Caenorhabditis elegans: one gene and its partners. The protein of the gene in region 1 purifies or fractionates together with the protein of each later gene. This does not show direct contact. Each region holds a gene or a part of one and is shown in the gene's direction. Other genes may lie near its edges. The genes, in order: W09C3.4, rpc-25 and W06E11.1.

Region 1 (3,556 bases):
AATTTTAGAATTTCAAAAAATAAAAAATTACATAAAGGCACAAGTTTAAGTGTTTTCGTCTTATAGAAAAACTCCTCTAAACATTTCCGGCAAATCTGATATTCGGTAAATCGGCAAATGTACAATTTGCCGATTTGCCGAATTTGTCCTTTTTTTTTCTCGAGATGTATGAAATATGGGAGTGAGAAGAGAATTGCAAAATAGGAAGACACGAGATTCAAAATGAGGGAGTATGAGCCAAACAAGACGGAGAAAAGGCATAAGAGGAGCTCTGTGTTGAGGGATATATAATTTGTTGGAGGAGAATGACACGGAGAACACATTGCGAATATGGGATCAAACTAGAGACGCAGAGCACTGAGCAGATATCTCACAAACACCCGGTGTGTGGCAGATGGTGAGCCATTTTGGTCACTCTCTTTCCCTCTTGTTGTTCGCCTCCCTGAAAGGCAACTGCTAGCAGGCTCTGGCTACTCCTACTGACTGCTTCTTCATTGAATGCTCCTCTTTTCCATTGATGACGATTGAATATGCGAGAGACAGCCGGGGTCTCTAATACTAGGAGCCGAGTAGCATGAAATTGTTGTTGTGAAACTTATTAGAAAATGGATAAGTGTGGGGGATTTGTTGAGAATATTTTTAGCGAAAGCGAGAAATTTTAAGCTTTTGTCAGTACAACTGCGAAGTTATTTACCTCAATATGCAATATTACGGTAACACAAACCTCTTAGAATGCGTATTGTGCAACATAGTTGACGCGCAGAATATCTCGTAGCGAAAACTACAGTAATTCTTTAAAGGACTACTGTAGCTCTTTTGTCGAATTACGGGCACTATTTTCGAAATGAATTAATTTTCCAAAAGTGACAGCGATACTCATTTTCCGTCGTTTTTTTCGTATGATTCTTATCCATAAATAAATGATTTTAATTAATTTCGAAAATCGAGCCTGTAAATCAACATAAGCGCTACAGTAGTCATTTAAAGAATTACTGTAGTTTTCGCTACGAGATATTCTGCGCGTCAAATATGTTGCGCACTGGGCATTCATTTTGTGTTTTCGTAATAAAAGAAACGTTATGATATGTTTAACAAAATTTTGGATTTCATTTTTTTGATTAAAACTAACAATTCTCCAGTAATCTGAAAAATTGTCCTTTCCAAGCCAAAATAATATTTTAAATATATAACTCTTCTCATTTTCACTGATTATAATGATCAATGCATTAAAATACAGCTGCTAAAAAGCCAAACACCTTGTTTCCTTCAGATTTTCGAAAAATGGCATGTAACTCGAATGCGGCTGCCAAACCGACCACGAACAACAAAAATTCTCAAAATTTATAATTTTTATGTATATAAGCTTTTAGAAAAACATTTTTTCTATCCATTTATCTATTTTTATTATTTTATAATCTTCAGTATTAATGCTTTTAGCCACAGTCTTCATTTTCATCTCATTTTGCCATCGCCCCGCCCCGTGTGGCGACCGCGCTCTATTGCGAATCATTTTTCTCTCGCAATTTGCAGTTATTATTTCTCCCTTCAGTTTCACTATTTTCTCACAAAAATTCACCGAATAAAATGTTTTCTCTCAATAATTTTATGTTTTTTCTTATTTTTCTAATGCATATTTTAATTTTCAGCGGATAAAAATCATGGCTTCCATCAAAGAAGAACTTATAAGCGCGGCGGAAAGCGAATCGCAAGTGATGCAGATCGTTCAAGCGGCTCTCGAAGGAATTGATATGGATGCATTGACAAGTATGACACCTGGATTGCCACAAACTGTTCGTCAGACTGCGATCAATAGCCTTTTGAGCTCAAAGAAATTGGCTATTCAACAAGCGCCTGGCGGTGTGCTCCGGTTGAAAGTTAACACAAGTGAACAGATTGCGGGAACAGAAGAGGAGCAAGTGGTGAGTATTTCTTGCATCCGGAAGAAAGAAAAACTGACATTTTTCATTACAGATTTACAGTCTTATCGAAGAATCGAAGACGCGTGGAATATGGATAAAAGAACTTCGAGAAGGTTCAGGACTCAACCAGCTTCAACTTCGAAAAACATTGAAAAGTCTGGAAACGAAAAAGTTGATCAAGACTATCAAAGCTGTTGGAACTACGAGGAAGTGCTATATTTTGTTTAGTATTGAACCAGATATGTCATTGACTGGTGGAACATTCTATTCTGATCAACAACTCGATTCGGAACTCATCAATACATTGATCAGTGTTTGTGGTTCATATGCTGCCAGCAGACGAAAGCATGCGATTGATGAAAATCCGAATAATATTCAAATGCAAAGAGAAGCCAGCTATATTCGTCCTCAAGAGGTTTGATTTTTATTGATAGCTCTAAAAAAATTTTTTTTTAAACTCTAAATTGAAAATGTGAATTTTTTTAACCGGAAAATAAATTAAATTGATGTTTTTCAATTTTTTTAGCAAAAAATATGCGTAATCAATTTTAAAAAAATTTCCAGATAGCCCAATTCATCACCGAAAAACGAGTATTGAATGTTCCACTATCATTGGAAGATTTAGAAAGAATTCTCGAAGTCGCTGTGTTGGATGGAACAATTGAACGAAGAGCTGATGGAAAGATCCGTGCATGTCCACCACGTTCCAGTATTTCTCCATTAGTGTCGGTTCCGTGTGCTATTTGTCCAGTTGTCGAGGATTGTCGACCAGGATATGTGATCTCTCCTCAATCATGTGATTATATGAAAAATTGGCTGGCCGATCTGTAACTGCAGTACTCTCTAGTTAATTGTTTTGAGAACTCAGATCTTCAAAACCCGTATTTTTATTGTCCATTTTTGTTAATTTATTGATGCCTTTTTGTTGTTGATTCTCCTCTTTTTTTCTTAATTGTTAAATATTTGTTCTGAATAAAAAAATCTCATAAAAAGAGATACAAATGCTGGTTCTATTTCAGAAAGAATGGTAGGAAGTGACTAATCTTAATGTCAAACCATAATGATCGACCCTTGACGCGGAGCAGTTTTGCAAGTATGCGGCGCGGTTTTATGCATGTCATTTTTTTCTGGTTTTACAGGTTTCAATTTAAAAACCGGACTAGCCCGTAAATCGACAATAGCGCTACAGTAGTCATTTAAAGAATTACTGTAGTTTTCGCTACGAGATATTTTGCGTGTCAAACATGTTGCGCAATACGCATTCTCAGTATTGTAGGGTCCCGTAATATTAATTTTAAAAATGTTTTCTTTTTTTTTTTTAATTTTTTCCGAAATATTTTTAAAATATTACTTTTAAAAATATTTTTTTTGTCGTTTTGAAAAATAGGTACAAAACAGGAATTTTGCCCAAAAAATGAGTAAAACCGAGCGAAAAAAAATACTCACACATGTATGTCCATGTCTAGTACAAAACTCTTCGTAAATCGACATGCAAAAAACCGCGCCGCAGGCTTGCAAAACCACGCTCCGCTCCTTTTTAATTCAATAATTGCGAAATTTGAGATTGATTCTTTCGGCAATACTTTAATATTCAAATTTTTGTGGAAAAAAACCCTGATAAGGGCGGAGCATGTCTC
Region 2 (3,579 bases), on another chromosome or scaffold:
AATGTAGAAGAAGATGAAGGATTTATTCTAGATGTGCCAAGGCTTTACAAGAACAGAGGACATCCGAAACTTGCAATGGTGAGAAATATTATGTAATAACAAAATACAGTTTTTTTTAGAACTTCCTGGATCAATTGACCAAAAATCCTTGTTACAACAACGAAGCATCTGGTGCTTACTGGTATCTGAAAGGAAGTCTTGAAATGATGCAGAAGCATGATGATCTAGCAATGGAAGCATTCAATAAAGTTCTGATACTACAACCGGATCATATTGATAATCGTATCCATTTGTCAACTCTCCAGCAAAAATCTGGGTTTTTCGAAAAAGCCCTCGAAACCTTGGAAAATTATGACCTGGAAAACTGCTCATCGATGCCAGATGAACGTCTTCTTGCTCGTCGAGCAGACGTTTTATTCGAAGCAGGAGATTCTGAGCAGTTTGTAAGGATCACGAGAATGATGCTGGCTCCCCACTTCTACAAAGTCTATATTTCTCCAGATATTTTGAAGAAACGACGGGTTACCAAAGGAAAAACGACTAGTAAGTGAAATAACATTTTAATTGTCTTCAATACGAATTTCCAGCACCTGCTCTCAGTAATACTTTGAAAACTTGTGCTTTTGGAGTTGTTAAACATACAAATTGGGAACGCCTTGTCAAAAGGCTGGGAGCAACTGTAGAAGCCAATGGGACTTTTCAAACATCGCTTTCGGGAACAGATGTAATCATTATTCGAGCATACATTTGATTGTGTAAATTTTTAATTTTCAGATACATGACTACTGTTTGAAGTTAATCGAATGTTTAAATAAAATGGAGAAACATCAAGACGCACTCATTGTCTGTTGTTATGCATTTTTACATCCAACTCTTTTCAAAGCCGACAAGTGAGCTAATTTGTTCAAAATTTTCCACACATTACAAAATTTTCAGAATCTCCACTTTCCAGAATTTAGTATATTTTTGTGCAATCAAAGCAAGATGTTGGAATTTGGCATTTGAATATGTTAGATTCTTTCACACTTTTTCTTTGGTAACAATTTGTATCTTATTGGACGCATTTAAGTAATTTAAATTTCCAGGCAGTCAGCGATCCTCAAAATGGCTCATTCTCTGACGTTCTCCAAAAACGCCTTTTCAATGCAATGAACTACGTATTCGTCAACTCTCAGAATGTCTGCTACCATCGATTTATCATGAGAGCACTCGTCAAAGCTAAAGATAATCATGCTCTTCAAGCGATTTCAGGCAATAATTCACTTATCACGGGAACATACCGACATGCAATGGGAGAGTATCTTCGAGTATGGGTAGCCAATAAACGAAATCCACTCATCTGTATGCTGCTTGCTCTCACTTTCACTCATATGTCTTGTAAGAAGGATCTCTCAAGTAGACACCTCATCGGAATCCGAGGAATTGCTTTTATGAAGAAGTATTCAAAAGCACGGGCTTGCCAACAAGAAGTCTTTTATAACATTGCCAGAATGTTCCATCAAATGTCGATTCTCCCTCTCGCCAAACATTTTTATGATAAAGTATTGGAGGTTGATCCGCCGTGTGTGTTTGATTTTGATGAAGATGGCAATGAGGTTATTATTCCAGCAATGAAGTAAGACAATTTTAAAAATAAATTAGAAATTTCTGTCTGTAGAAATACTATTAAAATTTCAGATATGACCTGAGAAAGATGGCTGCTCACAACCTGGCTTTAATCTACCGAACATCAGGAAACAATTTCGCCGCTAGGAAAATTTATGAAAAATATCTTGTTGTTTGATTTTTTGTTGAAGAATAATTTTTGTTAATCTATCCAATGTCTGACATTGTGTGGTCTAATTTATAAGTAGCAATCCCATCGTACTTTTTTAAACAATTACTTATAAATTTTCTTTTTTATTATTTTTATTTCATTATATTTGGTTCTGAGAATATAGTTCAAGCTTCCATTCAATATCTGCTGATACTGATGCCGTATAAAAGGAAAATGTTTAATATTTACAGTATGTTCATTCTTTCTCTACTGCACGATACGGTGGCTATTCAGCCTCATCAATTGAGCTCTGATCAGCAAATTGTTATCAAAAAACGGCTCAATGAACGTCTCGCCAACAAAATTATTCCGGATCTTGGTCTCTGTATTTGTGTCTATGATATAAATGAAATTGGTGATTCGTACATTTTACCCGGCGAAGGAGATTGTAGAGCGAGAGTTAAGGTAATAAATCAATGTACAGTCGTATTTGAGAAATGAAATAAATCTTCAGTTCCGTATGATCGTTTTTCGGCCATTTGTCGATGAAGTTATTGAGGCCAAAGTGATTGGTTCATCACGACAAGGTCTTTGTCTAACAATTCAATTCTTCGAAGACATTTTTGTACCGGCGGAAAAGCTTCCAGAACCTCATGTTTTCGAAGAAGAAGGGCAAGTTTGGTATTGGGAATATGCACAGGAAGATGGAGAACCACCAGCAAAACTGTATATGGATCCAGGGAAGATTGTGAGATTCCGAGTGACGGAAATCATTTTCAAGTGAGACATTTTGTATTTCATCGAAATTAAAATATTGATTTGTTTGCAGAGATCTCAAACCAGAGTTAACACACGAAGAGAGAAAAACAGAGAAATCTATGGAAATCAAAGGTACGATGGCTAGTACTGGATTGGGATGTATTGGATGGTGGGCAGCAGAAGATGAAGATGATGAAGCGGTTGAAGACGAGCAAGATGAACAAGAAGAAGTTATACAGCCCAAAGAAGAAATTAGACAGCCTCAAGAAGAAGTTAGACAGCCTGTTAAAATTAAAGAAGAGCCAGTTTAATCAAATTTTAATTGATTATAACGGGTACACTGTTTTTACTTTTTGTTATTGTTGAATAAGTTGTTATTTTTTCGTCTTGCAAAATAAATATAAAGATAGCTTGCAAAGATCGATTATCCAATCATTATGTTTGTCTCATGATTTATACAAGTACTTCCAAAGGCGGCCTGATATTTTAATTTCAGAATGGTTTCAGAAACATGAGCGAAAAAACTCGTAACCTTATGCTTAAAAGCTCAGCTGCGCCCACCAGTAGTCAACAGTACCATTCGAACAACGTCCCACTGCCAGTCTTCCGTGGAACCAGCTTGATATCGCAACTCGAAACACAAAAATATCCGACATCCTTCACAGCGTGCTCTTCTGATTTTGACAATGTAATCATTCCATCTTGTCCAAGCATTCCGATGCCGACTCAATCCTCATCGAGTACGGATACGGCCATGGATTCTTCTACTTGAGTTTTAATAACTATCAAGTGCTTCTAAAAACATCTCTGACACCATTTTCTATTTTCAAATGTGAATAAATAATTTAATCAAGCATTTCTTCCATATTTTGCCCAAAGTTCATTTCACGGTAGCCTACCGTAAATCGACATATCGAGTATGCGCCAAGAAAGAGAAATGCGCCAGCAATGGTTGTTGACACGCATCGTAACTTTATGTCGAAAATTTTTATTTAATTTTTATTCGTTCTCTGAATGTGTTCTTTATTTAATGCATTTTTGATGTTTTTTCTCTTAATTTTCAC
Region 3 (3,756 bases), on another chromosome or scaffold:
TTAAAAACCACCTACACTGTGATATTTCCAACTCCACGAATCACGACGGGTTCCTTCTCCTTTGGAATGTATATTGGCTCGGATTCCTCGTCACTACTCGGCATCACGTCTATTTCTGGCTCTTCGCCGTCACTGGAAACCGACGCCGATGGGGCTGGTGAGCCATGTGACATTTTTTATGAATTTTCTCTGGAAAAATGTAGGATATTTTAGGGGTTTGGTGTTAATTTTGATGTGAGGAAGCGGCTGAAGTTGAAAATGTTTTAGAAAATTCATAAAAAATGAGAAAAATGCCGGAAAATTAACAGTGAGCCGTCTGGAAAATAGAGAAAAAAGAAAATCAATAGAAATTGAGAACTCAAGGAGACCACGCTCTCTCTGGGTAAAAGGTTGTTTGCAGAACGCATGTTTCCGAATGTCACAGTATAAACGCGAGGTTTTTTAGTTGAACACCTAGTAAAAGTGTTATAAAATGTAAGATTTTATTAAATGAAAATAAATTATTTACTTTGTAACAAGAAAATCTAAAATTATATGTCATTTACTCGTTGTTCCTCATTTCTCCAATGTGAAATCTCTCAATTTCGTGAAGTCTCTTGTGGTATGCAACGGCGCCCTATCGCACTTTTTTGTGAAACATATTTTTTCCTTTTTTTGCAGATTTTCCAATTTTTTTTCGCTAAACGCATTTATTTTTAATATATTTGTGTTTTATAATTTTAAAAAATCTGAAATTTTGCAAAATTTTCCAGTAAAATGGGCAAAAAACGAAAGCACCAGGACTCGGACTCAGAGCAATCTGGAAAACGGGTAAAAAAAGTGGTAAGAATTGAATTTCTTGATTACAACTTTTTTGGTTTTAATTAAATGTATTAAGGAAGAAGCCAGAAATGGTGTGGCTGACATGACGATCGATGAGAGCTCGGATTTTCAAGTTTTCCTCATCAAAAAACCGATTGGTGTTAGTTTAGAAGATTTGGAGGCGCTAAAATGGTCAAACGACGAGGAAGTGTTGACGAAAACCAAATTGAAGACAGGTGAGAGTATTTTATTGAGAAAAATCTATGAGAAATTTTTCAGAATCCGGAGTTTTCCGAGCTATTGTTGCGCCAAAGTCGAAAAAGGAGCGGATGGTGCATATTCCGGCGTTCAGGGAGCGGGAAGAAGCTGACTCGAAGAATATTAAAGCTCGTAAGCATAGAATTAAGCTTAAAAGTTGATAAAATTACCCAATAACAATTTTTTTCAGAGAGTTTCGTCACTGGCGCCATCACAATTCTCCCGCAAGAGGTGAAGCCCAAGGTACTAGGAGGATTTATTTATGAAGAAGGCGAAGAACCCGTTGAAGGCTCTTCAGAAGTCCATCCAGGCCTGAAAAAGATCAAAAAGACCGCAATTTTGGACCTGGAAAGCCGTCAACAACGTAACAAAGCCTATGGAACCACTACGGAAGGCGATGGAAAACCGAGAAAACTTGCAAATATTATCGAAAAAATGAATTGAAATTTACTTGTTGACACATTTTTTGTTGAATTTATCTTTTTGTTTGTTGATTTTTCGTTTTTTTAGCTAAAAATGTTTTTTTCTTAATTTTTTTCTGGTTTTTTAAATCGATTTTTGGAAGTTTTAACATCTTCTGTTAATATTTATTTGCCACGTGGCATTTATTGATTGAAATTTAACATTTTTCAGTGGTTTTTTGGGAATTTTTGATTGGAAAGACGAGATTTTTGCTGAGTTTTCCGTGAGAGAACTAGAAAAATCGCAAAAAAAGTCAGAATCTCACAAAAATTGTGTCTAAAAATTCTCCAAAAATATTAGTAAACTAAAATTAAAATTTTCTACAAAAATCCTTATTAATTACACAAAAAATTGCATTTTAGCTTTTATTTTTCCAAATTTTTCGGGAAAATTTGTGTTCTTCTAGGTAAAAATGGGGTTTTTCAACAAAACTAAGGAAAAACAAACGATTTTTAAATATATAATTCGTATAAACCGTCCAAATCGCTCAAATTTTTCAGGATCTCATACTAAATGGAAGTAGACGGTGCTTCTGACGACGAACAAGAGCAAATTATTCGAAAACTTGTCAAAAAACCGGAATTTCTATCAGATGAAGAGGATGATTCAGTTGAAGATCAAGTCGTTTGGGAATGCGACGTAGTTGTGTGCAATTCCACACCAAATACTGAAATGTTCTCTGTTTCGTATCCTTCGAGCAAACGAGACGCCTGGGATGCAAAGCGATTTCCAATTGCCAGATATAAGAAGAATGTTCGATTGGTACGGAAAAACACTTGAAATTGGCTTGAATTCATTGAAAATCGGAAAATAGGACACTAGAATTATTGAACAAATTGAACAAATCCTGTCAAACGTTTAGAGAAATGCCCAAAAACATCTGAAAAAGTAGCCGTTTTTTTCACAATTTAATCAATTTTAGATCGAATTTTCAATGTCACTGATTTTCAGCTAGAAATGCGCTTCATGACAGACACCCAACTCGGATCATATGACAAAAAGAAGGCAGAACTTATGTATATGGATGGAGATGTCCCGAAAAAAGGACATGGAATTGAGTAGGTTTTACCACAGTTTTTGATGCTGAAAGTATGAAAATACACCTGAAATTTGCTTTGAAAAAAGTAGAAGGTAAAGAATATATTTAGCAGACCTATAGTTGGTCTGCTAAATATTTAGCAGACCAATGAGGTTGGGTCTGCTAAATATTTAGCAGATTAATTTTGGGTCTGCTAAATAATTAGCAGACCAATTTTGGGTCTGCTAAATATTTAGCAGACCCATGGTTGGTCTGCTAAACAATTAGCAGACCAATGAGGCTGGGTCTGCTAAATATTTCGATTAAAATTCGAGGATTTTCAAAGAATTTACAGATTTCTTTCGTTTTTTAAATGAAAAGTTCAATAAAATGCTTTCGGTTTGTAGCAAAAAACGTAGAAAAATCAATTTTTGAGGCTTAATGCGGAGTTTTTTTGAAATTTGGTCTGTTAAATAATTAGCAGACCAAAAGGGTTGGGTCTGCTAAATGTTTCGATTGCTAATCGAGGGTAGGGACAGATTTACAGATTTCTTGCGTTTTTTGAAAAAAAATTGATTTAAAAAATTGCTAATTAATTCGTTACATTTGTTGAAAAAAGAGTAGAAAAATCAATTTTAAGTCAGTGTTTTTTAAAATTTGATCTGCTATCCACTTAGAAGAGCCTAGTTTCGAATTTTCATTCGAAAATTGTGTGTTTTTCACATAATTTCAATTCTTCCAGTGCTCTCCGAGCCAACGATGAGATCTACGAAGGCCGTGCATTCATCCACGATCACCCAATAGTCAATGCAATTGGATTTTTTAAAAACGGCGAATTCTTCATTCATCCGCTGACTGGAGCATTCGAAATGCATCGATCAATTCAAGGGTTGAATAAAAAGAAGAAATCCGACGGAAAATCTGGAAAATCCGATGAAGATTCGTCTGGAGAAGAAGAAGACGTTAAGCCATCCTCCGCCGCAGTTAGAGTCAAATTTTCTCGGCCTGAAACTGAACGACAAAAAAAACGACGAGAAGCATCGGCGTTACATCGAGAGAAAAAGATTGCAAGTGATATGTGGATTCCGATGAAAGTTCATTTGAAAGATGGTGACCCTGTCGCTGAAAAAATTGATGGAATTAGTCAGAATGGACTCCTTTTGGACGATCCTGAAGCTTCACGAATGAGCATTAGAGCTCTTGTTAATAGAGCTATT

Evidence for each region.
Region 2: the proteins of W09C3.4 (region 1) and rpc-25 fractionate together in Caenorhabditis elegans (co-fractionation; one large-scale study listed by BioGRID). This does not show direct contact.
Region 3: the proteins of W09C3.4 (region 1) and W06E11.1 fractionate together in Caenorhabditis elegans (co-fractionation; one large-scale study listed by BioGRID). This does not show direct contact.

What each region holds. Positions count from the first base shown.
Region 1 is NC_003279.8:4,702,964-4,706,519, forward strand, and holds W09C3.4 (putative DNA-directed RNA polymerase III subunit RPC6), read left to right. Parts: upstream 1-1,640; 5' UTR 1,641-1,658; coding exon 1,659-1,919; intron 1,920-1,971; coding exon 1,972-2,334; intron 2,335-2,483; coding exon 2,484-2,750; 3' UTR 2,751-2,922; downstream 2,923-3,556. UniProt on the Caenorhabditis elegans protein: DNA-dependent RNA polymerase catalyzes the transcription of DNA into RNA using the four ribonucleoside triphosphates as substrates. Specific peripheric component of RNA polymerase III which synthesizes small RNAs, such as 5S rRNA and tRNAs.
Region 2 is NC_003283.11:10,205,031-10,208,609, reverse strand, and holds rpc-25 (DNA-directed RNA polymerase III subunit RPC8), read left to right. Parts: upstream 1-2,007; 5' UTR 2,008-2,008; coding exon 2,009-2,221; intron 2,222-2,270; coding exon 2,271-2,536; intron 2,537-2,585; coding exon 2,586-2,826; 3' UTR 2,827-2,930; downstream 2,931-3,579. Other genes in the region: tftc-3 (TPR_REGION domain-containing protein), read left to right, coding at 1-78, 120-543, 588-724, 775-890, 937-1,036, 1,086-1,615, 1,678-1,783; ZK856.16 (Ovule protein), read left to right, coding at 3,027-3,287.
Region 3 is NC_003281.10:640,038-643,793, forward strand, and holds the start of W06E11.1 (RNB domain-containing protein), read left to right. Parts: upstream 1-2,021; 5' UTR 2,022-2,034; coding exon 2,035-2,283; intron 2,284-2,472; coding exon 2,473-2,579; intron 2,580-3,281; coding exon 3,282-3,756. Other genes in the region: tag-266 (Golgin subfamily A member 7/ERF4 domain-containing protein), read right to left, coding at 16-173; tag-267 (Major sperm protein), read left to right, coding at 757-822, 878-1,037, 1,081-1,191, 1,250-1,503.